Macaca mulatta: one gene and its partners. The protein of the gene in region 6 interacts with the protein of the main gene of each other region in a pairwise test. Links are inferred from orthologs where the notes say so. Each region holds a gene or a part of one and is shown on either strand. Other genes may lie near its edges. The genes, in order: AMPD2, SYF2, RPLP0, NANOS2, PSMB10, CCNDBP1 and PIMREG.

Region 1 (4,079 bases), on a different chromosome or scaffold from region 6:
TCAGTGTTCAAGGCCACCAGTAATGTGTGTGCACACGTACGTGTGTGTGTGTCTCCCATCTCACTAACTATACCCTTGCCACCTGCATTAGTGTTTGTTTTTTTGTTTTTTAGTCTTTGCTATTTTGATAGGTAAACCTGGTTATCTCTGTTCTCTTTTTAGTTCTATGGATTCTGTGTGAGGTGAAGAGGCCAAGTTTTTTTAAGTTTGTTCAGGGAACAGTAGACAGGGATCAATGGAAGTGGCACCAGATGCAGGTGGAGCACAGGGTTCAAAGTCCAGAATCCAGCGTGGGGAGAGAAGAGGCAGGCAGAGTTTGGGAAGGAACTCTGCTGTGGGGGTGGTGAGAACTGGGAGGAGCCAGACAAACAGCATTAGAACAACTGGGTTTGGGGGGCAAAGGCCTCCCACAAGAGGGAAAATAGGGAAGAGATTAATTCCTGCTAATGCATTTAATTATATTCAGTGAAGTCTTAGGGACTTCCCTCCACAAGTTCCCTTTAGGTCGGATTTTCTACCCCTTGGCAGTGGGGATGCTTGTTGGATAGGATGTCTGCAGACCCCAGAACGGCTGTAAGTGAATCAACCTGTGAGTGTCAATAGAGAACCAAGGCCAAGGCTAAAGCAATGGTAATAATAAAAAAGTGCTAACTACAGGCCAGGCACAGTTCTAAGCAGTTAACTTACATTAACTCATTCATCTTAACCACCATATAAAGCAGGTACTCTTACACTCATTTTACGGAAGAAACAGAAGCACAGAGAAGTTAGGTAACTTGTCCAGTATCAGGAAGTAGGTGAAATCTGGATTTGAACGCAGACATTCTGGCTAGAGTTAAAGCTCTTAACCACCAAATACAGAAATGTGGGAAGGGGAGCCAGAATTGCAGGGCACAGCCTCCTACCTATGCCGGCCGGAAGAAAACAGACGACCAGGTGAGATTGCAGGGGCAGGACTTCTGCTTAAAATGAATCCTGGGACGATAACAACAGCTACCTTTCATTGGGCCCTGACTTCGTGCCAGGCACTAGGTAAAGGGACTTTACGTTTAATCTTCACAGTAACCCCTTTGAGTGAGGTACTGTCATTACCCCATCTTACGGATGAGGAAGCTGACGCACGAAACTGCCCCAAGATCAAGGGTCAGCTCAGGCCAGCCCTACCGCGGTGTGGCGGCTGCCCACGTGGCGCCCAGGAAGAGAAAAAAATGGCGAGGCGGGGTCGGCAGGCGGAGGCGGGGCCAGGCGGGGGCGGGGCCAAGGGCCGCAGAGCCTGGCGCGGAGCCGGCGAGATTTTCGTGGGGTCGCACCTGTTGCGTGACTCCCCCACAGTCCGGCCGCGGGAGTCCGACCCTGAATGCCCAGGGAGTGTTGCGAGAAACCTGGACGAGTTCCGGGTCCCGCTCCCTTGGGAGCACGTGGCCTACCCGTCTCTCGATTGCGATTGCGGGGTTGGGTGGTCGCGACACCGGGGTCGCCTTGAGGCCAGTCTGGCTGCCGAGATCTGCGGGAGTCCACCTCCGGCCAGCTGGCAATTTTGAAAGACTGCCTTACTTTCCCCATCTCAGTGCCAGGGCAGGGGCCCTTGGAGTGACTTGGCCGGAGTCTGGGGCCCGACCACCCTGCCCTCTCTCAGGACCCGGGCTTTCTGCTGTGCAGACCCTCGTGGGCAGCCTCCCCTCGGAACTCGGACACCATGGCTTCAGGTGAGTGTGTGTACGTGTGTTGGAGGGAGGGTCTCTGGGACAGAGAAGTGCTGTGGCCAGGGTGACAAGAGGGTGGGAGTCACAGCACAGCGGCAGGACGTAGGGAAGGCGGTCAGCTCTTCCTACGAGGGCCTGGGGAGCAGAGCCAGAGTGTGCAGAGCCAGAGGAAAAATCCGAAGAGGCTAGGGTCTCTGTCCCAGACCCCCAGACAAGGGGGTCTCCTGGCCTTCCTGCCTTCCTAGGAGGTAGCTATTTGGCGACGGTGGAATTTTCCCAAGACAGGCCCCTCCCTCCTGGGCTGGGATTCTCGGTTCTTCCCCCTCCTCCCAGAGCTGAGCTACCCCCGGAGCTGAGGGTCAGATGTGGAAGGAAAGTGGGTGCTGGGTTTTCACGGAGTATGCCAGCCCTGCCCCGGGAGGACTGTGTTTGAGCTTGGACTCACTCGCTGCTGAATTCCTATTTGTTATTCTTTTTTCTTCCAGACTAGCTGGAAGGACCAGCTAGCCTGGACTTTGGCTTCTTTGCCCTGGAGCCCTGGCATAATGGGGTGAGGGCTCTTGGTGGGTTAGTGGAGAGCTGGGGGCTGGCCCTTCCCCATCTTCTTTTCTACCCACTCCCTCCCCCGCCCCCCGCCAAGCCCAGCCACCATCAGTCACGTCACTCCTGGGACTGAGGAGGGAGGGGAGGGATAGGGGGCAGAGATGGAGGCCCCACTCCCCGAGGTTGCCTAGACAACATGAGAAATCGTGGCCGGGGCCTCTTCCGCCTGCGGAGCCGCTGCTTCCTGCATCAGTCACTCCCGCTGGGGGCGGGGCGGAGGAAGGGGTTGGATGTGGCAGAGCCAGGCCCCAGCCGGTGCCGCTCAGACTCCCCCGCTGTCGCCGCCGTGGTCCCAGCCATGGCATCCTATCCATCTGGCTCTGGCAAGCCCAAGGCCAAATATCCCTTTAAGAAGCGGGCCAGCCTGCAGGCCTCCACTGCAGCTCCAGGTGAGTGTGTGCTTCCTGGCCTCAGGATAGATGCTGGGCTCTGTCTTGCCACCTCTCGCCCAAGCTGCTGGTCCCCTCAGAGGAGGCCACCTCCTCTGGCATCCTCTCTGTGGTGGTGCCTCTTAACCTCAGTCCCAGGGACAGCCGGCTTGGAAGGTGGGGTGAGGGGTGGCCGGGGGTGGGGGTGGATCTGAGATATCTGTGCCAGGGATGCTGTCCTCTGTCACAAGGAGTGGGCATGGTGTGGGTGCAGCAAGAGGTGTGTGTGCACACGTGTCAGCGTGTGCATGTGCTAAGACTGCATGTGGAGCATGTGTGAATGGAGTGGGGGTGTGTGGGACTGTTTTGTGGACTGGCCACTCTGACTGGTGCCTGTGCCTTTACCAGGCAGGCTCAGGCTGTTCTGTGACTAGTTCCACTTTTTAGGACCCCACATCTAGATCCCCCTCACTGGGGGTCTGACATCTGGGCACAACCATTGTTGGCTGGCATCCCACAACTGGGGGCTTGACTGTATCTATCGTTTGCTATTTGCTCGTTCCTTGTCTATGTCATGAGCCTCCTTAGGAGTATGGGGCGTCCTTGGTCAGGTCCGTGCAGGCTTCAGACTGGGGCTGCTGCCCGCACTGCGTGTGCTCCTGCACCCTTTGGTTCGTCTCTCACTCTAGTAAGCATCTCTGCATCATTTGGAGCAGGCAGCGAGGTGCAGCAGCGCCTGTCTCAGTGAGGGCTTGGCTGCCTGGCTCTGTGCTTGCAGAGGGCTGTCTGCCTGCTGTCTGCTCCCAGGCCTTGTGGCTAAGGAAAGACCCACCCTGACTTTGATGACCAGATCATGCTGACTGCCCCCCACCCTTGCAGCTGTCTGTAGCCATAGCCCTACTATCAACCTCCTATATTTTCTTGTTTCATTGAAGATGCCTAGTGCTAGGTCTGTACTGCCCTGAGGGTGTTCTCTGTGCCCAGGTCTGTGCCATCCAGAAAGGGTGTCCCCTGGGTGGGGCCCTCCCTGGCCCTGTTTGGTTCAGCAATAGGGCAACTGATACGGATCTAGCCCAGAACTGGATACCCTTCAGTGGTCAGATGGTAAGAGCATCTGACACTTGTGGGGTCAAAGCCGTGGACACCCCTGTGCCTACTGAGGCAGTCCTGGCAGTGTGTGAGGGGCTCCTGGTCGAGAGGGGAGATGGGGTGCTCAGAATCTCAGAGTTGGTGGGAGTGGCTCTGGAGCGGCCCACTCTGGCTTTTGCTTGACTTCTCTGTAAGTGTGGGTGTATGTGTGTGGTGCTGGCCCCTAGAGAAAGGACCAGTAGGCAGCTGAGTCTTCTAGGCCTGGCCTCTGAGAACGTAGAGGTTACTGCCTGTGTGTCACCTTCAGTGAGCCTGT
Region 2 (3,539 bases), on a different chromosome or scaffold from region 6:
CAAAAATTAGCTGGGTGTGGTGGCAGGTGCCTGTAATCCCAGCTACTTGGGAGGCTGAGACAGGAGAATTGCTTGAACCTGGGAGGCTGAGGCTGCAGTGAGCCGAGATCACACCACTGCACTCCAGCCTGGGCAACAGTGCAAAACTCCATCTCAAAAAAAAAAAAATAGGGCCATGTGCAGTGGCTTATACCAGTAATCCAGGCACTTTGGGAGGCTAAGGTGGGCACATCACCTGAGGTCACGAGTTCGAGACCAGCCTGGCCAATATGGTGAAACCCCATCTCTACTAAAAATATAAAAAAATTAGCCAGGCATGCTGGTGGGCACCTGTAATCCCAGCTACTTGGCAGGAGAATCACTTGAACCCAAGAGGTGGAGCATGCAGTGAGACGAGATTGTGCCACTGCACTCCAGCCTGGGTGACAGAGCAAGACTCTGTCTCAAAAAAAAAAAAATAAAAAATAAAAAATAAAAAATTACAGAATTGAAAGGAACCTAAGTCATCAACTCCTCCAACACCTTCACTCTACAGATCAAAGAGCCAACAGGCAGAGAGGCTCCAGGACTTATCAGATGTCACAAAGTGCTAGGGACAGAGGTGGGATTAGAGCTCCATCCTGAGGTTATTTCCTTTTCCACTAAAGCAAACTGCCAAACTACAGCAGCCCACCACCTGTTTATGAAAAGAGGATTCATTTATGAATCCTCTGCAGCCGCTTTTGCACTGCAGCAGCACAGCTGAGTAGCTGTGACAGAGATTATATGGCTCACAAAGCTGAAAATATTTACTATCTGGTCCTTCACAGAAAAAGTTTACCAACCCCAGCACTAAAGCATTATGCCTCCTAAAATATCTCAGTAACTACAACAATCAGAGTGTTAACCAATCAACAACCAGTCTTAGAATGCCCAGTTAAGAAAAAAACAAAAAACAAAAAACAGGTGATTAATTGCTGTGAAGCAAGCAATAAACAGTGCTGTCAAAACAGAGACTAGGCCTGGCACAGTGGCTCACACCTGTAATCTCAACCCTGTGGGAGGCCAAAGAGAGAGGATCACTTGAGGCCAGGAATTTGAGACAGCCTGAGCAACACAGTGAGATCCCGTCTCTACAAAAAAATTAATTAGCCAGGAATTGTGGCACATGCCTGTAATCCTAGCTACTGGGGAGGCTGATGTGGGAGGCTCCCTTGAGGCCGAAGTTTGAGGTTACAATGAATTATGATGGATGGTGTCAATGCACTCCAGCTTAGGCAACAGAGCGAGACACTGTCTCTTTAAAAAATAAAATAAAATAAAAAAACCAGAAGGGCCAGGCAAGGAAGGGCCAGGCACAGTAGCTCACACCTGTAATCCCAGCACTTTGGGAGGCCGAGGTGGACGGATAACTTGAGGTCAGGAGTTCAAGACCAGCCTGGCCAACATGGTGAAACCCCATCTCAGCTAAAAATATAAAAATTAGTTGGGCATGGTGGTGGGCACCTGTAATCCCAGCTACTCGGGAGGCTGAGGCAGGAAAATCACTTGAACCCAGGAGGCAGAGGTTGCAGTGAGTTGAGACTGCACCATTCAGTGCACTCCAGCGTGGGCAAGACAGCAAGACTCCGTCTCAAAGGAAAAAAAAAAATCCAGAAAAAACAGAGACCACCCTTAGACAGCTATTAATAACCCATACCTTAGCATTAAAGTATGTTTCTATTTATATACATACACACACACAAACACACAAATATATCCACATCAGCTCAGGATGAAAAAGGACTCACTGTTTTTCTCTCAGTCTCTCATATGTTTCCATGTCAGGTTTGATCTGCTTGGTCAACCGATGATACTGGCGTAACTGGGCAGCAGCATAATCTAAAAATATAAAATCAGAATCTGAGATAATATATTTCCTTGTTTGGACCTTCCTATTGAGAGAAAAATCTAAATTATCATAGGTAAGTATCGTTTATCCAAAATGCTTGGAATCGGAAGTGTTTCCGATTTTTTTCAGATTTTGGAATATCTGCATTATACTTAAACTCAAAATCTGAAATGCTCCAATCAGCATCTCCTTTGAGCATCACAGCATCATGTTGGCACTCAAACAGTTTTGGATTTTGCAACATTTTGGATTTCAGATTTTCAGACAAGGGACACTCAATCTGTGTGAAGTAATATATGCCCAAAACACTATTCTAAGCATAGCTTCTATCCTGAAGATGCTGACAAACAGACTTTGATAAATTTTACCATCAAGTATTTAAAAATCCGGCTAACTGAAGCACAGCCTTTTTTTTAACTTCTGTCCTAAGAGACGTATTTGTACTTTTCTTGGTCTTTAGGCCTCATCAAGAATATCCCATGAAGCACAAGAGGCACATCCTTTCTTGAAACCAGAAACAATGAAGGAAATGACTAACAGCCCAGTCAATAAAGTTCAATAAAGGTCAATCTGACCTGAAAATCCCAGATCAGGGTTTTTCCTCTTCTTTTTCCTCTCCCATTTTTCTGCATCTTCTGCACTGATCTCCAGCAACTTCACTTTCTCATAGTCTTCTCCTCTTGATGCACATTCCTAAAAAGAAGAAAAAAGCTGACACCTACAATTATGATACAAGCAATAATTTCATCTACTTTACATCAAGAAAGATCCAATAAATATTAACCAATATTTTAATAGTTTTTTTTAGTTGGAGTTTCACTGGCTCTGTCACCCAGGCTGGAGCTCAGTGGTGTGATCTCAGCTCACTGCAACCTCCACCTCCCAGGTTCAAGGGATTCTCATGTCTCAGCCTCCCAACTAGCTGGGACTACAGGCACATACCTCCATGACCGGCTAATTTTTGTATTTTTAGTAGAGATGGGGTTTCGCCATGTTGGCCAGGCTGGTCTCAAATTCCTGACCTCAAGTGATCTGCCTGCCTCAGCCTCCCAAAGTGCTGGGATTACAGGCATGAGCTACTGCACCCGGCCACTGTAATAGTATTTAAAGGAAATTTGGAAATACACTATGGTATATAAGTGAGCACATGATACTTATTGAGTGTTAATCAGGTGTCAGACCTTGTTTTAAATGTTTTACATGCATTAACTCACTGAATTCATAATGAACTCAAATAATTATTGTTACAGTTCCTGTTTTATTGATGAGAAAACAGAGGTACAGAGAAGTCAAATAAACTCACCCCAAGTGTCACAGTCGGTACTGAACAGAACCAGAATTTCAATTCTGGCAGCTTGGCCTAAGAGCCAGTGTATTCAACCACCATGTTGTAGTGTCTTGATACAACAGAATGATTGACTAAATCACTTATGAAGATAAAACAGTTCCTAACCTTTTTCTTTTCTTCTTCCTGTAGTTCCCACTCCAAACGAGCTTTTTTGGCTTCCCAATTTGCAGGTAATTTTAGTCTTTTATCTTCTTCCACAACTTCCTGGTGATTTAATTTACGAGCTTCATTCTAAAACCGTAACACAAGAAGTCTGTCAGCTAAAACATGAAAATAAATCCAGATACATTTTGCCTTCTTTGAGGAGGGTCAGGCAGGACA
Region 3 (4,005 bases), on a different chromosome or scaffold from region 6:
CACTCTGTCACTCAGGCTGGAGTGCAGTGGCACCATGTCGGCTCACCACAACCTCCGCCTCTTAAAGGGCATTTTGATGGCAAAATTTGACAGTCTTATTCCTGGCCCTAGAATAACAGCCCAGCACTGTTCTAAGACTTTACATCCATTAATTCATTAAATCCTTCAACAATCTTATGTTGTTATTGACATTTTACAGATGAGGCAGGTAGACAGATGAAAACACAGTCCTTGGTTACAGGGACTCAGTCTGACCCCTGTCATGCTCTCAACCATCAGTGTAAGAGGGGGCAAGGCTGAGAGCATGTACCTCCAGGAAGCGAGAATGCAGAGTTTCCTCTGTGATGTCAAGCACTTCAGGATTGTAGATGCTGCCATTGTCAAACACCTGCTGGATGACCAGCCCAAAGGAGAAGGGGGAGATGTTGAGCATGTTCAGCAGCGTGGCTTCGCTGGCTCCCACTTTGTCTCCAGTCTTGATCAGCTGCACATCACTCTGAACAAGGTAACAGTGGGGCAGTAAACACCTGGACAACCAACAGACCCATGGCCACTAAAAGCAGCCCCCCATTTGCCTGATTAGCACAGGCAAACCAGGTCCACTCACCAGGATTTCAATGGTGCCCCTGGAGATTTTAGTGGTGATACCTAAAGCCTGGAAAAAGGAGGTCTTCTCGGGCCCGAGTCCAGTGTTCTGGGCTGGCACAGTGACTTCACATGGAGCAATGGCACCAGCACGGGCAGCAGCTGGCACCTGACAAAGACAACAAACAGTGAGAAAAGCCTCTCCACTCATACAACCTGAGAATGGTCCATTTTGCTTTAAGAAGCAACTACAAAATCTCTTTAGCCAACTCAATTGTCCCCTTACCTTATTGGCCAGCAACATGTCCCTGATCTCAGTGAGATCCTCCTTGGTGAACACAAAGCCCACATTCCCCCGGATATGAGGCAGCAGTCTGCAAAGAGAAGTTTACAGGAGAAAATCACCTTTCAGCACCATTCTCCAGGAAGAGGGAGACGGGCACTGGGGAGGGAGGACAAAACTGCCAGTGGAACTGACTTCTCCAGAGCTGGGTTGTTTTCCAGGTGCCCTCGGATGGCCTTGCGCATCATGGTGTTCTTGCCCATCAGCACCACGGCCTTCCCTCGAAGGGACATGCGGATCTGCTGCATCTGCTTGGAGCCCACATTGTCCGCTCCCACGATGAAACATTTCGGATAATCATCCAATAGTTGCTACAAAAAACAAGTCAGAGGAGCCAAGTTTAACAGGAAGAAAGAGGGAAAAAAATGCCAGGAGAAACTGAACCCCACAATTTGTTTCCTTCTCACTCCCTTTCTTCTAAGCTTTTGAAGTCAGAGGGAGAGTGGGAGCTACGTTGTAACACTGCCAAACTGGATGACTGGTTTGCTGGATATGAATGCTGAAAATCAGGTTTCTACATTCTATCAAGGAGTTTTTCCTTTAATTTTTTTTTTTTTTTTGGAGATGGAGTCTCGCTCTGTCCCCCAGGCTGGAGTGCAGCTGGGACTACAGGCGCCCGCCACTTCGCCCGGCTAGTTTTTTTGTCTTTTTTAGTAAAGACAGGGTTTCACTGTGTTAGCCAGGATGGTCTCGATCTCCTGACCTCGTGATCCGCCCGTCTCGGCCTCCCAAAGTGCTGGGATTACAGGCTTGAGCCACCGCGCCCGGCCTTTCCTTTTTTACTTAGTTTTTTTTTTTTCATTTTTCCCAATTACGAGGGAGGTTTCCGATTCACTAAAATGGTTATCAGGATAAAAAAAGGAATGTTCCAAATAAGCTGGTCAAGAGGGCTAGACTCACAGCATTCAAAGCACAACGTTAAGCAACGTTATTACTTGTAAAAAGAATCTAGACGTGTATATCCTGATTGTTGTACAATTCTTTCGAGTTTTGTGTCTGAAAACCTTTTAAGTGTGGGAAAACGTAATACAAGCTATGCTCTACAATGCTGCCTAATTGCTTAAGCGCAGTACAGTCAGCGTTTCTGGGCAAGGAAGACCCACCTCAAAGGCCATCCAAGTCACTGGACACTTAAGTTTCTTGACTGACAGGTCCTAAATATGCAACAACTTGCTTCCTTACAATGAGTCACTACTGGCCTCAGACCTTCTCAAAGATACAGTAAAAGTAGAATGTGCGGCTGGGCGCAGTGGCTCACTCCTAGCACTTAGGGAGGCCGAGGCGGGCAGACCATGAGGATCAAGAGATCGAGACCATCCTGGCCAACGTGGTGAATCCCCGTCTCTACTGAAAATACAAAAATTAGCTGGGTGTGGTGGCGCGCCCCTGTCATCCCAGCTACTTGGGAGGCTGAAGCAGGAGAATCGCTTGAACCTGGGAGGCGGAGGTTACAGTGAGCCAAGATCAAGCCACTGCACTCCAGCCTGGACAACACATCGAGACTCCGTTAAAAAAAAAAAAACAAAAAAGGTATAACGTGCGCTCTTTTGGAAGCCAGACAGACCTGGATATGAATGCTGTCATCTTAGGAGCCACTTAACTTGCCTGAGCCTGTTTATCTGCAACAGAAGGGACCTATCTCAGGAAATTGTTAACTAAACAGGATTTTCCCGAAAATGGCCTAATTCAGTAACCGGTACTGAATAGACCCTCAGCACATGGCAGCTGACTGTCCCTATTTGCGCTGGGGCAACATGAAGGGCAGAGGCGACCCACCCTGCACTTACGATGATCTTAAGGAAGTAGTTGGACTTCCAGGTCGCCCTGTCTTCCCTGGGCATCACGGCGGTGCGTCAGGGATTGCCACGCAGGGTTTAAAGACGATGTCACTGAGGAGAGAGAGGGAGCTCAAGCCTGGTCACCCCGACACCCATTCCCCGGTCCTGGGCCTACGAGGAGCAAGACACGCGCAAGCGCCCGCCGGCTCTGCCTAGGGCAGCCGCCGCCATCTCGGGGCGTGCAAGCCGCCACCGAGGCCCCAGGCGGAACAGGATAGGACTCCACGTTCCCAAAATCCCCCAATGACCCCTCCATGCTTCCCGCTGACGCCCCAGACGCCGATCTGGCCAGCGCACCAACCTTCCACGAGGACGCCTGGCGAGAGAAGGGCCTCGCGCCCGTGCGTGCGTTTTATATGCGAACAAAATAGCCAATCAGAAACCGCGGATAGCGCTCCTGTCTATTGGCTGGAGCCATCGCCCGTCCGACAAAGCTGAACGAACACAGGCAACCATTGGATAATGTCGCTGCCACTCGAACCAACGGAAAGCCGCCTTAAAGTAGGGTAGTGAAGGAAGGCGCTGCCTCGCGTTGGAGGAGCTTGCTCTGAGCTGCTGCCACCTGCGGGGCTGGAGCTGGAGCTGCGAATTCGGAGTCTCCAGTTCCCTCTGCCACCTGGCGAGCTCGGCAAACTGAAAGGCATGAGATGAAGCTGAGACGTAATTGCACATGCTTAGAAACCGAATGATCTCTTGTCTTCTCTAGTTTGTTTTTCCTCCTACCAAAACAGAGGGATCTTTAAAATCTGGCCGGGCGCGGTGGCTCACGCCTATATTCCCAGCACTTGGGAAGGACGAGGCAGGTGGATCATCGGAGGTCAGGAGTTCGAGACCAACCTGACCAACATGGCGAAACCCCGTCTCTACTAAAAATACAAAAATTAGCCGGGGGGGTGGCGCACGCCTGTAATCCCAGCTGCTCAGGAGGCTGAGGCAGGAGAATTGCTTGAACTCAGGAGCTGTGAGCTCTGCAGTGAGCTGAGATCGCACCATTACACTCCAGCCTGCGTGACAGAGACTCCGTCTCAAAAACAAACAAACAAACAAACAAAAACCTAAGTCAGCTCATCTCCTTATCTGCTCAAAACTTTCCATTTCCTCCAGAGTAAAAACCTAAAATCTAAACTACCTACAAGGCCCTACCTATCTGCCCCTCACGCCCACTCTGATCATCTCAGATGTTTTCCTCCTGACTTACTTGCTTTCCACCCGATGATGCTCTGCTGCTTTTCCAGAGCA
Region 4 (3,333 bases), on a different chromosome or scaffold from region 6:
GCTTGAACCCGGGAACTGGAGGATGCAGTGAGCCAAGACTGCACCGTTGGCGCTCCAGCCTGGGCAACAAGAACGAAACTCCACCTCAATAAAGAAAAAACAAAAACCAAAAATAAAAATTACCTGGGTGTGGTGGTGCGCACCTGTAGTCCCGGCTACTCGGTCGCCCCGTCTCTACTAAAAATACAAAAATGGCCGGGTGTGGTGATGCATGTCTTTATTCCCGGCTACTCGGGAGGCTGAAGCAGGAGAATCGCTTGAACCCGAGAGGTGGAAGTTGCAGTGAGCCGAGATTGCGTCATTGCACTCCAGCCTGGGTGACAAGAGCAAAACTCCGTATCAAAAAAAAAAAAAAAAAAAAAGTTAGTCAGGCCTCGTGGGGCGCACCTGTAGTCCCAGCTACTGGAGGGGCTGAGGGAGGATAATCACTTGAACCCGGGCAGGGAGCCGAGATCGCACCACTGCACTCCAGCCTGGGCGACAGAGCAAGAGCTTGTCTCACAGACAAACCAAAGACGGAAACAGATACAACCATTTCAAAGACGACTGAAAAACCTTTTTATTCACCAGAGCTCAATACTCAGGGTCCCAGCCCTGTGCCAAAAACTGAACAACTTAAAATCTGACTGGGGTCCTTCTTTTCTTTGCCCCTAAAATAAAAGCTAGGCCGTTGCCTTTCCCATCCGGGTACTCAAACCCCTGTCTTATCGGCGGTTCCTCGACTTAAAAGTTGGAGGATGAAAAATACAGGAGGAAAAAAAAAATTCTTTAGTCAACTATCACGATTTGGGGGGTCGGATGGGAGGTAGTGGAAAGATGTGCTTCTTGCTGGGAAAAAGGACCCATCGGTGATTTGGGGATGGGGGCACGCGCCGAGTGCACTGGGCTGAACAAGGGGAAGAACAACCAGGGGGCATTGAAAGGTGTCAGCTCACCCCATGACTCTCCATCCGCGGGTGAGCCTATGAAGACACCGTGCCCTCCAGTGACACGGTGCTCTCCAGCGTCCCACTCAGCTCCTGACGGGTGGGTGCTGAGGTCAGGGAAGGAATGAACCGGTGTGGTCCACGATGACACCGTGGTTCTACAGAAAGGTGAAGGTGGAGAAGGCTGGTGTTAAGTGGACATCCCATCTTGAAGTTCTCGGGTTGGCACTTCTCAGCCAGCCTTCTTCAGTGTCTCCTAAGGGCTGGCTTGGGACAGCACCGTGGAATCCTGGAGGTTCAAAAATCCAAGAACTCCACAAGGAACGGAGAAGTTGAAGGGGCAGGGCTCCTGTCACCAGCAGGCCCCACGAGAACAAAAGATCCATGAACCGGGGCCCAGAGGGCGCTACAAGGCCATGCAGGAAGGGTTCCCGGCGCACCAAGGACCCTGGGACGCCCACAGGCCAGAGCTCCCAGAGCTGACAGGTCCAAGGGGGCGGGGCTGGCCTGGCTCCCAGGAGTCTCCACTGTTTCAGGATCCAGCCAAGGTGGAGTTCTGGGGGCCAGAAATTCCAAAGGGCTGGGTGACTGGAGGAGAGAGTTTAGGGACTTGGGTGGGACAGACCAGGAGGGTCAGGGGTGCGGGTGGTGGACATCTCACGGTCCTCAGCGCTTGACCCTGCGTCCGGCCGAGTTGCGCCCGCTGCGGCGGTAGAGGGACTGCTGGCCACCGTTGAGCGGGCAGTACTTGAGCGTGTGGGCCTGGTCACCGGTGGCACCGCACACGGGACACACGTAGTGCCTCAGGATGGGACACACCACCACGCCGTCTGGTGTCTTCAGCTGGTGTGAGGAGTAGACGTGGCGGGACTCCCCGTTGTGCTTGCAGAAGTTGCACAGGGTGCCCAGGCCCCCGTTGGCCCCTGACCCTCCCAGCCCCTGATCCTGCCCCAACGGGGGCCCAGGACTTGGCTCCTCAGTCTCTTGGGTCTCCAGCCTTTGCCCCCGATTCGCGATCAGCGCCCACACCACTTGGCTCAGGTTGAAATAGTCCTTCCACATGTCAAAGGGTGGCAGCTGCATGGCACCAAAACAGGGGTGGTGGGCCACTGGAGAGGGGCTGGGGCTGGGGGCCCGTAGGCAAGGGCAGCAGGCGTTTCCCAGAGCAGAAGGGAGCTGCACCCCCTTTTATAATGCCCAGAGACTCTTCTAAGCAAAGGTGGAGCTTAGGATTTAAAGGGCCCACTCCCTGCCCATAACCCCCATCTGACTTTAATTCTTCACAGAGATCTGGAAGGAGATCATTCCCCTGGTCTCTGGCCCCTGCTCTGCTGCCAAGGTGCTCTGTGTCCTCTGGGAAGACAGTTCCATGCTCTGTGCCTCAGTTTCCCTATCTGTTCAAAGAAAGCCCATGTCTGCAAATATCCCCCACCCCTAGGCTGGAGGGGCTACACCCTTCCTAGACTTCAGAGTTACTGCTGATCATCATAGCAACCAGGCTGGGTGCGGTGCCTCACACCTGCACTCCGGGCACTTTGGGAGGCCGAGGCAGGAGGATCGCTTGAGCCCAAGACCTCTAGACCAGCGTGGGCAAAATAGCGAGACCTTGTCTCTACAAAAATAAACAGACAAAAATAATAATAACAACATGACCTGATTTATTTTATTTATTTACTTGAGACAGTGTCTCGCTATGTCGCCCAGGCTGGAGTGCAATGGCGTGATCTCTGCTCACTGCAACTTCAAGCGATTCTTCTGCCTCAGCCTCCTGAGTAACTGGGATTACAGGCGCCCACCACCAAGCCCGGCTAATTTTTTTGTATTTTTAGTAGAGACTGGGTTTCACCATATTGGCCAGGCTGGTCTGGAACTCCTGACCTCAGGTGATCCACTTGTCTCTGCCTCCCAAAGCGATGGGATTACAGGCGTGAGCCACTGCGCCAGGACTATTATTTTCATTTTACAGAGAAAGATATGAAGCTTGGAGAGGTTAAGGAATGTATCCAAGGTCACACAGCAGGGAAATGGCAGAGTCGGGTTTCATACTCACTCTGGGAACTGGGAATTGAGGTTAGAAGTGGCAGAGGACCTTGGCACAAGACGATTTCACTTAGAATGCCCCCTCTTGGGCTGGGCATGCTGGCTCACGCCTGTAATCCTAATACTTTGGGAGGCTGAGGCTAGAGAATCACTTGAAGCCAGGAGTTTGAGACCAGCCTGGGTAACATAGTGAGACCCTGTCTCTACACATAATAAAAAATCAGCTGGGCATGGTGGCATGTGCCTGTAATCCCAGCTAGTGAGGAGGCTGAGGCAGGAGGATCACTTGAGCCCAGGAGGTTGAGGCTTCAGTGAGCCATGATTGTGCCATTGCACTCCAGCCTGGGCTACAGAGTGGACCCTGTCT
Region 5 (4,169 bases), on a different chromosome or scaffold from region 6:
GCACTGCACTCCAGCCTGGGCGACAGAGCAAGACTCTGTCTCAAAAAAAAAAAAAAAAAAAAAGTAAAATAGGCCAGGCACAACCAACCATGGTGGTTCATGGTTGTAAGCCAAGCACTTTGGGAGGCTGAGGAGGGTGGATCACCTGAGCTCAGGAGTTCAAGACCAGCCTGGGCAACATGGTGAAACCCCATCTCCACCAAAAAAAACAAAAAACAAAAAATTAGCCAGGCATGGTGGTATGTGCCTGTGATCCCAGCTATTCAGGAGGCTGAGGTGGAAGAGTGCTTGTGCCTGGGAGGCAGAGGTTCCAGTGAAATGAGATCGCACCACTGTACTCCAGCCTGGGCAACAGAGTAAGACCCCGTCTCAAAAAAAAAAAAAAAAGTAAACCCTTTGGCAGCTGCGTGCTGCTCTTAGGCTCAAACCTAAGTCTTTTTTTTTCCCCCTTTTGAGATGGGGTCTGTTGCCCAGGCTGGAGTGCAATGGCATGATCCGTACTCACTGCAGCCTCGAACTCCCGGGCTTCCAAAGTGCTGGGATTACAGGTGTGAGCCACCAGGCCCAGATTGCTGAAGGGTTTAAACCAGAGAAAGAGTGTGACCAGATTTCCAATTCAGAAAGACCCGCTCTCTGCAGGGTAAGGTGTAGCCTGAGGTAGGGGGCAAGAATCGCAAGGTAATCAGGGAGGCCAGTGCAATGTCCAGGTGGGAGAGGTTGCTAGCTGAGACGAGAAGTGCTAGGAGAAAGATGTGTGCAGATAAGAGGTCACTGGGGAGGTGAAATAACAAGGCTTGGCCGTGAGTGGAACCCAGCACCCATGGTGCCCCTCTTGAGAGGGGGAAGATGTCACCTGAGATGGAAGATGGAAAGACCAGGGTCCCTGTGGCTGAGGACTGAGCCTGTGTTTGAGGTTTCACAGAGGAGTGAAGGCAACACAAGAGGCAAGAGTTGGAAGAAAGGTGACAAGGAACAAAAGTCAGCCATGCCTGATGCTACTGGGTGGCCAGCAACAATGCAGACTTGGCCAAGGCTCTGAGAGCTTTATTATGCTGGGACTGGAGGTCAGAGTTGAGGCTAGGGTAAGAGCAGGGGGCTCAGATGGAGGGGGAGGAGGACCTGAACAATGTCCAGAAGGGAAGAGATTTGAATCTCTATCCAACAGAGGACCCTGTGAGCAGCACAGAGGGCACAGCAAGGGACATCCCCCAGTTCTCCAAATGCTCAGAGCCACAAGTGAAGCCGAAAGTGAAAGACAAGATGCAGAAAACCGCCACGGGCCTTTGAAGGGTAAAGGCGAAAGCGAAAGCAGGAAGGACAGACGTCGAGCCTAGCAGAGGACTTTTTAGTTCCTCACTGGCCCCACTTGTCTGACCGACTCATCCACCCGCGACCCCTAATCCGCTCTGCCTGCCCCAAGATGCTGAAGCCAGCCTTGGAGCCCCGAGGGGGCTTCTCCTTCGAGAACTGCCAAAGGTGAAGCGGGGGCTGGGGAGGGGACGATCAATCCTGAGTCACCTCTGCTTGGTCGTGGCCTTTTTTCCTGGCTGGGGGTGGGAGAGGGTGTGTTGGGCGACTTGGGTTCCAGGCTTACCCCGGAAGATGAGGGAGACGGGGACCAGGTTAGGGGAAGCAACAGGGGTACTGGAAGCAGAGCCGAAACCTGGGCGCTCTTCTCCGTTTCCAGAAATGCATCCTTGGAACGCGTCCTCCCGGGGCTCAAGGTCCCTCATGCACGCAAGACAGGGACAACCATCGCGGGCCTTGTGTTCCAAGTGAGCAGCGGGGAAGGACAGGGGAGCTGGAGGGGAGCCGGGAGTATCGAGCAGGCACTGAGGCTGCGGTCCCTCCCTCTCCTCAGGACGGAGTCATTCTCGGCGCCGACACGCGAGCCACTAACGATTCGGTCGTGGCGGACAAGAGCTGTGAGAAGATCCACTTCATCGCCCCCAAAATCTAGTGAGACTCACCAGCCCAGTTCCCTCACGCAAAAGAGAACGGCCCCCTCGTTCCCACTCCGGTCCCGGCACGTGCCAGCCCTGCCCACACCGATCCTCCCTTTTCCCTCAGCTGCTGTGGGGCTGGAGTAGCCGCTGACGCCGAGATGACCACAAGGATGGTGGCGTCCAAGATGGAGCTACACGCGCTATCCACGGGCCGAGAGGCCCGCGTGGCCACGGTCACTCGCGTCCTGTGCCAGACGCTCTTCCGGTGCGGGGGCGGGGCTAACAGGATCCCCGGAGGGGTCGTTGCCGGCACGGGCCGATGGAAGGCGGGACAGAAAGGGGGGCGGGGCCGCGACGGGCCAGGTGACCGGAAGAGGCCAGCCCAAGAGAAGCTGGGCTATCGGAAAAGGCTATGTCAGTCATCGGGCGCCACATCACAGGAAGGGGCGGGGATAGTACCTAAGGGCGGAGGCATAGAGGGGCGGGGCCTAGGCCCCTGCCTGTGACCGACCCCGCCCATCCTCGAGCAGGTACCGGGGCCACGTGGGTGCATCGCTGATCGTGGGCGGCGTAGACCTGACTGGACCGCAGCTCTACAGCGTGCATCCCCATGGCTCCTACAGCCGTCTGCCCTTCACAGCCCTGGGTGAGCACTTCTGTCCCTTCTCCTCGAACCCTGCCCCTGTGACCTTGGCCTCACGGTTGTACTCCAAACTGGGTGGCAGCGGTTGACTTCAGATGGTTCTCCTGCCTTTAGGCTCTGGCCAGGGCGAGGCCCTGGCGGTACTAGAAGACCGGTTCCAGCCGAACATGACGGTGAGCGGCCTCTGTCCCCGACTATGTGGTCGCTGGTGGGATGTGCACCCGGGAGCTGGGGGAGCACAGGACCCTAGCCCGGTGTGGAGGTGGGGGAAGGCTTGGAGGTGGTGACCACTGAAGGGTGAGTGGAGTAAGGGCAGAGAAGTGCGGTCCTGGCACAACACCGTCCAATACCAAAGCCTGGACGGTTGGGAGAAGTCGAAGCTCACAGAGGATCTTTTGGAGCCGAGGGCAGAGGGAAGGACCAGTAGGGTCACACTTATATCAACGTCTGGAGCCTACATTTTGTTTGGGGTGGGATGGAAGCAGGTGATATTGCCTCAGAGGTGGCTAAGGCTCAGAGGGAGAAACACAGTGGGGGTTTGGGGTGCAAGACCAGATTGGGTGAGTGGACAGGCAAGTCCCCAGGCTATAGCCTAAGTTAACAGCAGAGGGCCCGTCAGGCCTCACACACTCATCACCGCAGCTAGAGGCCGCTCAGGGGCTGCTGGTGGAAGCCATCACCGCCGGAATCTTGGGTGACCTGGGCTCCGGGGGCAATGTGGACGCATGTGTGATCACGAAGACTGGCGCCAAGCTGCTGCGGACACTGAGCTCACCCACAGAGCCCGTGAAGAGGTGAGTGCTGGCGATGGGGTACCACAGGGATGTGTGGGGCTGCAGCAGGGGAGATGGAGGGCTGCAAGAAGGGGATGGGCCACATGACAGGCCCATGTTCAGAGGCCGTCCCTCCTCTCTCCCAGGTCTGGCCGCTACCACTTTGTGCCTGGAACCACAGCTGTCCTGACCCAAACCGTGAAGCCACTAACCCTGGAGCTAGTGGAGGAAACTGTGCAGGCTATGGAGGTGGAGTAAAATAGGTTGAGGCTTAGAGCTTGGAACAAGGGGGAATAAACCCAGAAAATACAGTTAAACAGATGGCTGTGTCATTCTTGAGTGGAGTAGGGTGGGCAGGCAGCCAGCAGGGCTCTGTAGCTAAGGCGTCCCTGCAGGGACCATTACTTCCCATAGCTCTAGTGTCTGGCCTAACAGATGCTCTTCACCCATTACCTCAGGCACCTACAGCTCCAGAACCCCAGCCCTGGCCAGCATTGCAGGCTTGATCTCCATCCAAACCTTCCTTCTGACTCCACACCTTGGAGGCTCCCCCATCACTCCACTGCCTTGCTCTTGGCCCTCTAGTCCACTGGAGACTTGTAAAACACAAAAGACCCCATGACCCCTCCTAGGGACTTTCCATGGCTCCTCAGTGGCCCAGGACAAAGCTCATACCTTTCAGTAAGGCCTCACTGAGGGCTAAAGTGCTGACAAGAGGAGCCACTCCCTGACTCCAAGGCAAGTTCTCACCAAGCACTTCTCAACCTCACAACATCTTTACCGGTAACACCCCTCAGATGGCGAGGC
Region 6 (4,245 bases):
TTAAAGTATCATTCCATGAAGATTGGAATTTTAAAAAAACAAAAAAAAACCCACCCATCTTTTAGTAGGACTAAAGTGGTGAGATCTCAAGAAGGCAATGATGATTCATGTGTATGTATGTGTATATATACACACATATATACATATATGTATTTATTTGAATATATGTATATACTTGAATATTTGTATATATTTCAAATAAATCCAAATTCTAATTTTTCATCTATGAGTAAAACTACTGTCCTGAGCATGTATAGAAAATCAGTTCTATGCTGCCTCCTTGTGGTATCTTACTTGCAGTGAGTTTTAGCAGCAAGTCCTAAGTGTATTTGAAAGAAAGGGGTTAGCAGATAAGAAAAATAAGATAATATTAACTATTCTTTTTGAAATAGTCTATTTTCCATGAATCTTTTAAAGTGCCGTCATACAATTCATCTCTTGTTTCCTCATCACAAATCTCAAAGGTAGGCCAGGCACGGTGGCTCATGCCTGTAATCCCTACACTTTGGGAGGTCAAGGTAGGCAGATCACTTGAGGTCAGGAGTTCGAGACTAGCCTGCCCAACACGGTGAAACCCCGTCTCAACTAAAAATACAAAAATTAGCCAGGCATGGTGGCGGGTGCCTGTAATTCCAGCTACTCGAGAGGCTGAGGCAGGAGGACTGCTCGAACCGCATAGGCAGAGGATGCGGTGAGCCGAGACTGTGCCACTGCACTTCAGCCTGAGTGACAGAGTGAGACTTTGCCTCAAAAAAAAAAAAAAAAAAAAAAAATCTCAAAGGTATGTGAGGAGGAGAGAGTTTATCACTGTAGGTACATGCAGCAGAAGATACCTATATTCTTTCCAAACACCTATATATGTAGACTGAGAAATTAAAACTATTGACTATGAAAATCAAATAAGGCAATGAATATGCCATTTTAAAGGAATCTTACTCCCATATTAAGGATACACAGCTCTAGAAAAAACTAAGCATAGAGCATACGTGGTCACAGCCAACATGTTTACTTTCATTAGTTTAATAATAAAGGAATATTTAAAACGCATAAATTCTTTGTTCTAGCAATTCCACTTCTGGGAATTTTTTCTACTGATATACATACATACACAGAATTACGTAATTCATCACAACACTGTTTGCAGTAATTCTAAGTTGGAAACAGCTTAAATGTCCACATAGAGTATGGTTAAATTATGTTTATATCTAGTCTATTGAATACCATGCAGTCATTACAAAGAACGGAACAACTTTATACTAGCTGCTAAGAGTTGATTTCTAAGCTCTATTGTTAATTTATTTAAAGGAAGGTCCAGAACAGTGTTTATGGTATCTTACCATTTGTGTAAAAAGAAGCTGACACATACAAGATAAATGTTTATGAATGTATATATGTACAGAATGTATGTGGAATAATGCAAAAGGAACTGGGGGAGACAAAAATGAGAAAGTGGATGGAAGGATAAACTTAACACACTTAACTTTGATATCTTTTGAATTTTATACTATCTGCATAGGTTACTGATTAAATATAAAAAATAATATAAAAAGGGTATTATGTAGTATAACAGAATAGGTGTACCTTAGACATCAGATAGACCTTGATTTAAATTCTAGCTCCCCTGCTTTTTTTTTAAATCTTAACCTGAGCTTCTGAGCCTGCTTGCTCATCTGTCAGATGGCCATCAAGTATGTGAAAACACCCAGCACATAAAAAGTGCTTAAAAAATTATCAGAAAAGAAACCACCAGGGTGAACTTCAGATTGAACCAATATTTATAAGACCTGCCTACTCCGCGCCAGGAAATGCACTTGGCAGTTCGGTCTTCACAACAAGCCTGTGAAGTAAAAAACGGTAACCTCATTGGACAGACGAAGAAAACAAATCTCCTGGCATGCGTGTAAAAGGTGGAAAGAAAATTAGAGGATTCCTAAGGTGTAACTCGGCAGCCCAAGGATTCCAGGAAAGTGAAGCCCACCTGTGGAGACGGCAGTGGAAGCTGAGAGAAGACTGTGGTCAGAGTCGTGGCTTCCCTTGACACTGTCACAGCTGCCTCATCTGGGGGGTGGCCGAAGAGAAGGCAGGTGCCAATACATTAGCGCTGCACGGACTTGGAAGATACGCGTTCCCTTACCGACCCAGACTTCTCAAAAACACCTCCCGAATGTCGATGTTAGAATTCTAGTTTACCCTCTCAGGTGCTGAGGTGGGTAAGGTATCTCACAGAAAGGATGCAGCAGGGGAGGGCAGTCCCCTCCCTGGGGGAGAGCGAGAGGGAAAGGGGTCGGGACGCTGAAGGAACTGAGGCAAGGGGAGCCGGGACAGGAGGCGCACTCACTGAGTCTTCTCCAGAACATCTCTCGATTAAACTCCTCGGTGGTCTCCTGGGCTTCGCCGACTTGCGGGTGTGGCGTGTGGGGGCCGAATGGTGGCGAGTGGAAAAGCTAAGGTAAGCGGACCTACCTCCCTCGCCCGAGCCTGGCTCCCCGCCGCCGCCGCCCCAGCCCGCCCTCTCCGCGACCCCGAGCCCGGCCTCTCCCCGATCCCGGCCTCTCCCCGAGCCCGCCCCTGCCGTCGCGCGTTCCAACTCCGTCAGCTCACCCCGCACTCGAGGCAGGAGCAACCGCAGCTCCTCCGCCAAGTGCCGGAGCTGCTGCAAAGGTGGAGCCAGGGTGGGGGCTGCGGCTGCAGGTGCAGTTGCGCTCGCCATCTCAGTCGCTTGCCGAAGGCCGCAAACACAGGCCTCCGCCACCACTGCCGGAGCCGCACTGCGACAGCCGCTCCACTTCCGGGCCACAGCGTCAATGGCTCGTTTCCGGCAACAAGCCGTCCAGCCCCGCCCCAGAGGCCCGGCCCCGCCCCCAGAGGTCCAGCACCACCCATCCCATTATGAGAGACCAGGCCTGGCCCCGCCTCCTCCCGCCCCGCCCTGTCCCCAGAGGTCCAGCACCAACCATCCCAGAGGCCAGGACAAGCCACGCCTTCTCTCGCCCCTTAAGCGAGGCCACACGAGCAAGGCTCAGGCTCACGGTCTTTCTTATTCATCATTCATTCATTTATTTGATTAGTTGAAAACACTTCCGACTAAGGAAGCAGAGAGCCCACAATCCTGCGGGAAAACAGGCCTGGGAACTAATATCTCAGCCGTGGTCAGGGTCGGGCCCAGATCCTCAAAGGTTCCCTGCCCTTGAAATTGCACCTTTGACAGCTGCTGAATTTCAAGCACAGCGGTAGGTGCTTTACATGGGGTAACCCCTAAAAAACACACTGGGCCTCTGACACTCCCGTACACACACCCAACCCCTACCCTGTGGGTGTCCTAGATAAGGGTTTTCTCTTCACAAAGATAAATCAACTCTTTGCCTCCTTGAGGAGGGAAGGAATAAAGGCATTATTTTTGAGACTTTTCTGCAGTCCATTCTGCAGGTATCAGTAGTGGGTAATCCCTCCAACATCCAGGAGTCCAAACGAGCAGCAGCTCCCTAAAGCTCACGCACCAATACTGGCCCTCCACCTGCTACTGGGGTAGAGGCCTAGGCTACAGACACAGAGGCTGGGCTTCTGCCCAGCTGCCAGTGGTGAGACATGGCCTTCAGGAGCTCAGGTGGCTTTTTAACTGCACCATGAAGATTCCAAGCTTGGCGGAGTTCAGTGTCCACACACAACGAATGAGAACAGGTGTCAGCAGTGTCAACCAGGTCCGCAAAGGGGAGAATAAAAAAGCTAGGGTGCCGTATGTCGCATAAAGAAAGTAGCAGGAATAAATCTGCCAGATGTACAGCAGTAGCATAAGTAGGTGAACAGGCATAATTTTCAAGTATTTTCTTTGATGGAGATGAGACCTGAAGTTGTGACCAAAGCACCGCTGCAGCAAGCTCCAACACATGTAAGCCATCAAGGGGATGTTAAAAAATGCCAGCTGGAAAAGAACAGAGCCATAGCTTACTCCCAAGTCCTTGGAAGAGTTTGGTCTTAATAATGCATCATTAGTGGATCCTAAGAATATGCTGCTTTCTGTCTTGGGGTTAGCTAATTTACTTCAAGCACAGTTGCTTATAACACAACAGCTGACTTGTGGCTAGTTGTGTATTTGCCCATGTCCTTTTATTCATCTTAGAGGCGGGTATCATTTAATTTATGTTGAAGTCCCAACTTGTAGTACAGTATCATATACACAGTTAATACCCAGTGGTGTTAAGCTGGAATTGAACTGAGTAAATGTATACACACACATACAACAACCCC
Region 7 (4,193 bases), on a different chromosome or scaffold from region 6:
GTCCTTTTCTATTTGTTTACTTGGCGGTGGCAGCCAGTCTGACCCTGTCTGTGGTCTGACTGTTCCTAAGTGTGTAACTTTCAGTATTATCTGTGACAGACGGCTCTGTGGTGAAAAAGGTTTATTATATTCCTTATGGCTGCCTTGTACAAAATCCGTTAGAAACGCTAATGTAAGATATCAGATTTCTAACAAGACAAAAACAGCGTTATGGAGTTAAAAGATTTTTACAACTGGTCTTGATTTTGATGTGAGCTGGTTTTTAGCTCTCAAATGTTGTCACTTAAATAAAAACCTTATTTGCCTTTACGGTGTGTTTGCGTCCGAACTAAGCTGAGAAGCCTTTCCCTTTATACATGTTCTCCCTGGGATGGGTTTTGGGGGCAGACTGGCTCAGAGCAGAGGTGGATGAGGGCCACAAATGAGACCACAAATGACAGATCTATGGCCCGGAGTGGTGTGGGAGGACGGGGAAGGTTGGAGGTGGCCGGTGAAACGGAACAGATGTCAAATGCAAACAGTCTTTATTATGAGAAAGCAGTGTTATCTAGGAAAGTCACACGCTGGTTTCTTATACAACGACAAAGCAGGTTTCTTAAATAATTTACAAAGGGCAGAAATTGCTTTTGAACAGGGCTACCCCTCCCGGCACACCCACAGTACTCCGCCTTGAGTGTATAAATAGAACCCGTGAGCCCAGGGTCGGAAACCTGGAAATATCTCCTATGCCTTCCTCTGAGTCCCTGGTAGGGAAAGCAGGGATGACAGTGGGGCCCCCAAGAGCCTTGGCACCAGAAACACGGTGGGTGAGTGACTCTGTGGATGACTCCCCAAAAACCAGACACCTGGGTACACAGCTAAGAGCTCTCAAACATCTGAGGCTAGCACTTCACGTTATAGACGAGGCAAATAGAAGGCTCAAGGTCGAGTGTACGATGAGTTTCTAAGCTCAAGAGTCCCCTGGGAAAGCAGAAGGAACAATTCTCCCCCTCTGCAAGGTCTCCCCAAGACACTCTCAGGCTATGGCAGGCAGTCACTGATGGGTCCAGATGTGGCCGGAGCAGGGGGCTCTGGGCCCCTTGTTAGGTGCTTGTTAGCAGTGGCCCGGGGGTACTGACAACTCCTGGGGGTTTCCTCCGGGAAGCTCACGGGGAAGCATAGACATCCTTGAGTACGAAGACTTGGCGGTCAGACAGGGCTTGTTTCCTGCAAGACAGCTGCCTTTGTCACTGTGCTCAAGGTCGGAGAAGTAGGGATACCTTTCCCTGCTCACTGTGGGGTGGGGGCTGCTGGAAGGTGGCTGTAGCTACTCGGGGCCCCCGGCATGCTGTTAATGATGGGGTCTGTGAGGTTAGCAGCTCTGGCTCCAAGCAGCAAGCGGGTCCTACCTACTCTGCTGTGCCCATCAGCTCTGTGGGTTTTTCTTTAACTTGCTCATGCATGAGGTGGAGGAGGAGGACAGTGAGAAAGACGCTTGGGAGGTGGGCATTACCTGCAGGCACTTCCTCAGTCATGAATGAGAGAGATGATGTCACCACTAGAGAGAAGGGGAGGGATTGATGCCACTGGGTGTGGTGGGCTCTGAGTGGGCCCCTCTCAGCCTGAGCTAGACAAGATCAGACCCGGAAACATGGTAGGAATATGGCCCCCCAACACATAGAGCTGGCAGGGCTCAGCCTTAGAGCCCATCATGGCCATTATACAAGTGGAATGGAGAAATAGCCCCAAGTTAGGGGAGATCCACAACCGAGGCCCTGCGCCTAGGATGGGGCCATGAGCAGAGAGACCAGGAGCTCCATAGCAGTCAGGTTGCTTTTCCCTATTCCACAGGCAGGCAGGGCACAGAGGAGCCACGGACAGTTCTGGAGGAAGGGCAGGCTTTTCAGGAACCAGCCACGTGTGAGGTTCCAAATGATGGACAAACGTGGGGGCCCAAGGCCCAGAAGACCACACACATTCAGGCTGCATTCTTTACCATCAACCCAGTCCAGGTTTTTGTCTCTTCTCATGTTTGAGATGAGGGAGACTGAGGCCCAGAGAGGGGCAAAGACTGGCCAGGGTCACACAGCAGGTCAGCGCAGAACCAGCGCCTGCCTACAAAGATGGCCGGAGGGGCCCTGCCGGCCACTTCACTTTGAAGTATGGAATGCCAACTCACCTCTCTTCCGCCATGATGGCTTCCTCTAGCTCTTGGGACAGCTTCTGGAGATGCTGAATTCCCGCCCCCACAGGCTCTGGGTCACTGTCAGACTCGCTGAATGAAAGAAAAAGCCACACCAGTGACTAGCTAGAAACTCCTGGCAGGAGCCCCTTGCAACCCAGTACCGGGGTCTGGTCTGTGGGCCCAGATGACCCTGGTGGGCTGGGCTTCACTCCAGACCCTCACTCCAGGAAGTGACCTCAGAGCAACAAACAGAGAGAAGATCAAGATCCACAAGGCCAAGGTCATGGGCAAGTGATTTTGCAGTGTCCCCACTTGGAAACTGAGCCTCAGCCCTCCAGGAGGCTTCAAAACTTGCTTGTGGGCTCACTAGGAGGCTTGGGTGAGTGGGATTGTATCAGAGCTAAGCTCAGCTCTTCCTTTACAGAGAAACTAAGGTCCTGAAGGATTTTCTCAGGTCCTCTGCTAGCTCTGGGGGCGGAACCAGGTCAGAACACAGATGTGGAGAGTATTTTTGAAGTGTACACAAGCCTTATTTTAGCTTCCAGGTTTGCAAAGAGCCACCTGGTCACTTACATGCATCCTGGTGACCACCTGCCACAATAGACGGGCAGCCGCTAGGCAGCCTTCCCTGAGAGCCCCGAGATGGGAATAGGAAGCTGCGAGGAACTGTGGACTGGGATGAGCTTCACTCTCTCCCCTGAGCCAGGCCACTTGCTGGGCCTGTCTGAGAACTAGAAGATTCTGCAGGGCAGGCCAGCTTGATCAGTGGGGCAGAATATCCAGATGATCTGGACCCCAGCCTTTACTCCTCTGTTTCCTACGGGATGGCCCTCGTGCTAATCACCAAAAGCCTCCGGACCTCCGTTTCATTACCTGTCAAACGGGACAAACAGAGCCTACCTTAATTACAGCTCAAGGTTCCTATGAGACTAAAGAAAGATGCTAGCCCTCAAAGAAATTTGGGGAAAAATTCAACAGCCCAAAGCTACTATGCAGCCTTAACTAACACACTCCATTTCCCCCTAGAACTCAGCCAGAAAGTTGAAATACAATCCTTAGGAATCTAGTTGTTGTTTTGTTTTCTCTCTTTTTTTTTTTTTTTTTTTTTTGAGACAGAGTCTCGCTGTGTCACCCAGGATGGAGTGCAGTGGCGCGATCTCGGCTCACTGCAACCTCCACCCCCTGAGTTCAAGCGATTCTCCTGCCTCAACCTCCCAAGGAGCTGGGATTAGAGGCGTGTACCACCACGCCCAGCCAATTTTGTATTTTTAGTAGAGATGAGGTTTCACCATGTTGGCCAGGCTGGTCTCCAACTCCTGACCTCAGGGGATCCACCCGTCTCAGCCTCCCGAAGTGCTGGGATTACAGGTGTGAGCCACCGTGCCCGGCCAGTTTTCTCATTTTCTAATGAACAAATACACGCACTGGATATCTGCTAAAGCAGGACACACATTTAACAGTAAGAATAATTATAACATGATATGACGCTGCTCAGGGTACCCCTGGCTCCAGGTAGCCACAGGAGGTGCCAAGAAGCCCCTGGGGCCCAGCTGGTGTCTGGGAGGTCAGAGAGCAGGGACTGTGCCCAGGCTAAAAGGTCACCAGTGCCGGGGTGAGGCACTATCCCACTTGCCTGGGAGAGCAGAGGGGCTCTGTTGAGGAGTAGGGGCTCCGGAAGGCAGCCTCCCGCCTTGACCGCCGTGATGGGTGGGCACGTGAGCCCATCCGGGCAGAGAGGTGGTGACGCTCCTTCTCCCGGGGCTCTGTGGCTGAGTGGGCAGGGGCGGCTCCAGACAGCCGAGTGCTCTTCTGGCTCAGGCTGTGAGCTGGGGATCCACTGCCCGTCTGTGCTCCTCTCTTCCGCCTCCTGGCCTTCACGTGCGTCTCCACCAGCCACCTGGTGCCACTTTGGCAGGACTCCTGGATTCTCTGGAACAGGCAAATGGAAAAGTTAGCACAGACACAACCAAAAGTGAGGCCGGGCACCGTGGCTCACGCCTATAATCCCAGTACTTTGGGAGGCCGAGGC

Evidence for each region.
Region 1: the proteins of CCNDBP1 (region 6) and AMPD2 interact in binary tests that used the Homo sapiens proteins (3 or more experiments, as listed by UniProt). The two-hybrid records come from large-scale screens. The link is inferred for Macaca mulatta from reciprocal best matches to the Homo sapiens genes CCNDBP1 and AMPD2.
Region 2: the proteins of CCNDBP1 (region 6) and SYF2 interact in binary tests that used the Homo sapiens proteins (3 or more experiments, as listed by UniProt). The link is inferred for Macaca mulatta from reciprocal best matches to the Homo sapiens genes CCNDBP1 and SYF2.
Region 3: the proteins of CCNDBP1 (region 6) and RPLP0 interact in binary tests that used the Homo sapiens proteins (3 or more experiments, as listed by UniProt). The link is inferred for Macaca mulatta from reciprocal best matches to the Homo sapiens genes CCNDBP1 and RPLP0.
Region 4: the proteins of CCNDBP1 (region 6) and NANOS2 interact in binary tests that used the Homo sapiens proteins (3 or more experiments, as listed by UniProt). The two-hybrid records come from large-scale screens. The link is inferred for Macaca mulatta from reciprocal best matches to the Homo sapiens genes CCNDBP1 and NANOS2.
Region 5: the proteins of CCNDBP1 (region 6) and PSMB10 interact in binary tests that used the Homo sapiens proteins (3 or more experiments, as listed by UniProt). The two-hybrid records come from large-scale screens. The link is inferred for Macaca mulatta from reciprocal best matches to the Homo sapiens genes CCNDBP1 and PSMB10.
Region 7: the proteins of CCNDBP1 (region 6) and PIMREG interact in binary tests that used the Homo sapiens proteins (3 or more experiments, as listed by UniProt). The two-hybrid records come from large-scale screens. The link is inferred for Macaca mulatta from reciprocal best matches to the Homo sapiens genes CCNDBP1 and PIMREG.

The regions. Positions count from the first base shown.
Region 1 is NC_133406.1:130,582,431-130,586,509, reverse strand, and holds the start of AMPD2 (AMP deaminase 2), read left to right. Parts: upstream 1-1,259; 5' UTR 1,260-1,696; coding exon of another isoform or gene 1,697-1,706; intron 1,707-2,188; 5' UTR 2,189-2,442; coding exon 2,443-2,695; intron 2,696-4,079. UniProt on the Homo sapiens protein: AMP deaminase plays a critical role in energy metabolism. Catalyzes the deamination of AMP to IMP and plays an important role in the purine nucleotide cycle.
Region 2 is NC_133406.1:215,734,725-215,738,263, reverse strand, and holds part of SYF2 (pre-mRNA-splicing factor SYF2), read right to left. Parts: intron 3,450-3,539; coding exon 3,324-3,449; intron 2,564-3,323; coding exon 2,446-2,563; intron 1,861-2,445; coding exon 1,770-1,860; intron 1-1,769. UniProt on the Homo sapiens protein: Involved in pre-mRNA splicing as component of the spliceosome.
Region 3 is NC_133416.1:127,495,489-127,499,493, forward strand, and holds the start of RPLP0 (large ribosomal subunit protein uL10), read right to left. Parts: upstream 2,818-4,005; 5' UTR 2,770-2,817; coding exon 2,716-2,769; intron 2,462-2,715; exon of another isoform or gene 2,256-2,461; intron 1,627-2,255; exon of another isoform or gene 1,240-1,626; coding exon 1,064-1,239; intron 960-1,063; coding exon 872-959; intron 755-871; coding exon 608-754; intron 497-607; coding exon 311-496; intron 1-310.
Region 4 is NC_133424.1:58,468,113-58,471,445, forward strand, and holds NANOS2 (nanos homolog 2), read right to left. Parts: upstream 2,089-3,333; 5' UTR 2,010-2,088; coding exon 1,593-2,009; 3' UTR 532-1,592; downstream 1-531. UniProt on the Homo sapiens protein: Plays a key role in the sexual differentiation of germ cells by promoting the male fate but suppressing the female fate. Represses the female fate pathways by suppressing meiosis, which in turn results in the promotion of the male fate.
Region 5 is NC_133425.1:63,512,709-63,516,877, reverse strand, and holds the start of PSMB10 (proteasome subunit beta type-10), read left to right. Parts: upstream 1-1,347; 5' UTR 1,348-1,420; coding exon 1,421-1,476; intron 1,477-1,687; coding exon 1,688-1,775; intron 1,776-1,861; coding exon 1,862-1,959; intron 1,960-2,070; coding exon 2,071-2,211; intron 2,212-2,476; coding exon 2,477-2,592; intron 2,593-2,703; coding exon 2,704-2,762; intron 2,763-3,231; coding exon 3,232-3,383; intron 3,384-3,508; coding exon 3,509-3,611; coding exon of another isoform or gene 3,612-3,620; exon of another isoform or gene 3,621-3,683; intron 3,684-3,820; coding exon of another isoform or gene 3,821-3,868; exon of another isoform or gene 3,869-3,994; coding exon of another isoform or gene 3,995-4,093; exon of another isoform or gene 4,094-4,169. UniProt on the Homo sapiens protein: The proteasome is a multicatalytic proteinase complex which is characterized by its ability to cleave peptides with Arg, Phe, Tyr, Leu, and Glu adjacent to the leaving group at neutral or slightly basic pH.
Region 6 is NC_133412.1:20,576,737-20,580,981, reverse strand, and holds the start of CCNDBP1 (cyclin-D1-binding protein 1), read right to left. Parts: upstream 2,807-4,245; 5' UTR 2,711-2,806; coding exon 2,602-2,710; intron 2,399-2,601; coding exon 2,339-2,398; intron 2,059-2,338; coding exon 1,979-2,058; intron 1-1,978. Other genes in the region: TMEM62 (transmembrane protein 62), read right to left, coding at 3,593-3,919. UniProt on the Homo sapiens protein: May negatively regulate cell cycle progression. May act at least in part via inhibition of the cyclin-D1/CDK4 complex, thereby preventing phosphorylation of RB1 and blocking E2F-dependent transcription.
Region 7 is NC_133421.1:7,929,543-7,933,735, reverse strand, and holds the end of PIMREG (protein PIMREG), read right to left. Parts: intron 4,094-4,193; coding exon 3,798-4,093; intron 2,255-3,797; coding exon 2,159-2,254; intron 1,538-2,158; coding exon of another isoform or gene 1,507-1,537; exon of another isoform or gene 1,493-1,506; intron 1,207-1,492; coding exon 1,146-1,206; 3' UTR 508-1,145; downstream 1-507. UniProt on the Homo sapiens protein: During mitosis, may play a role in the control of metaphase-to-anaphase transition.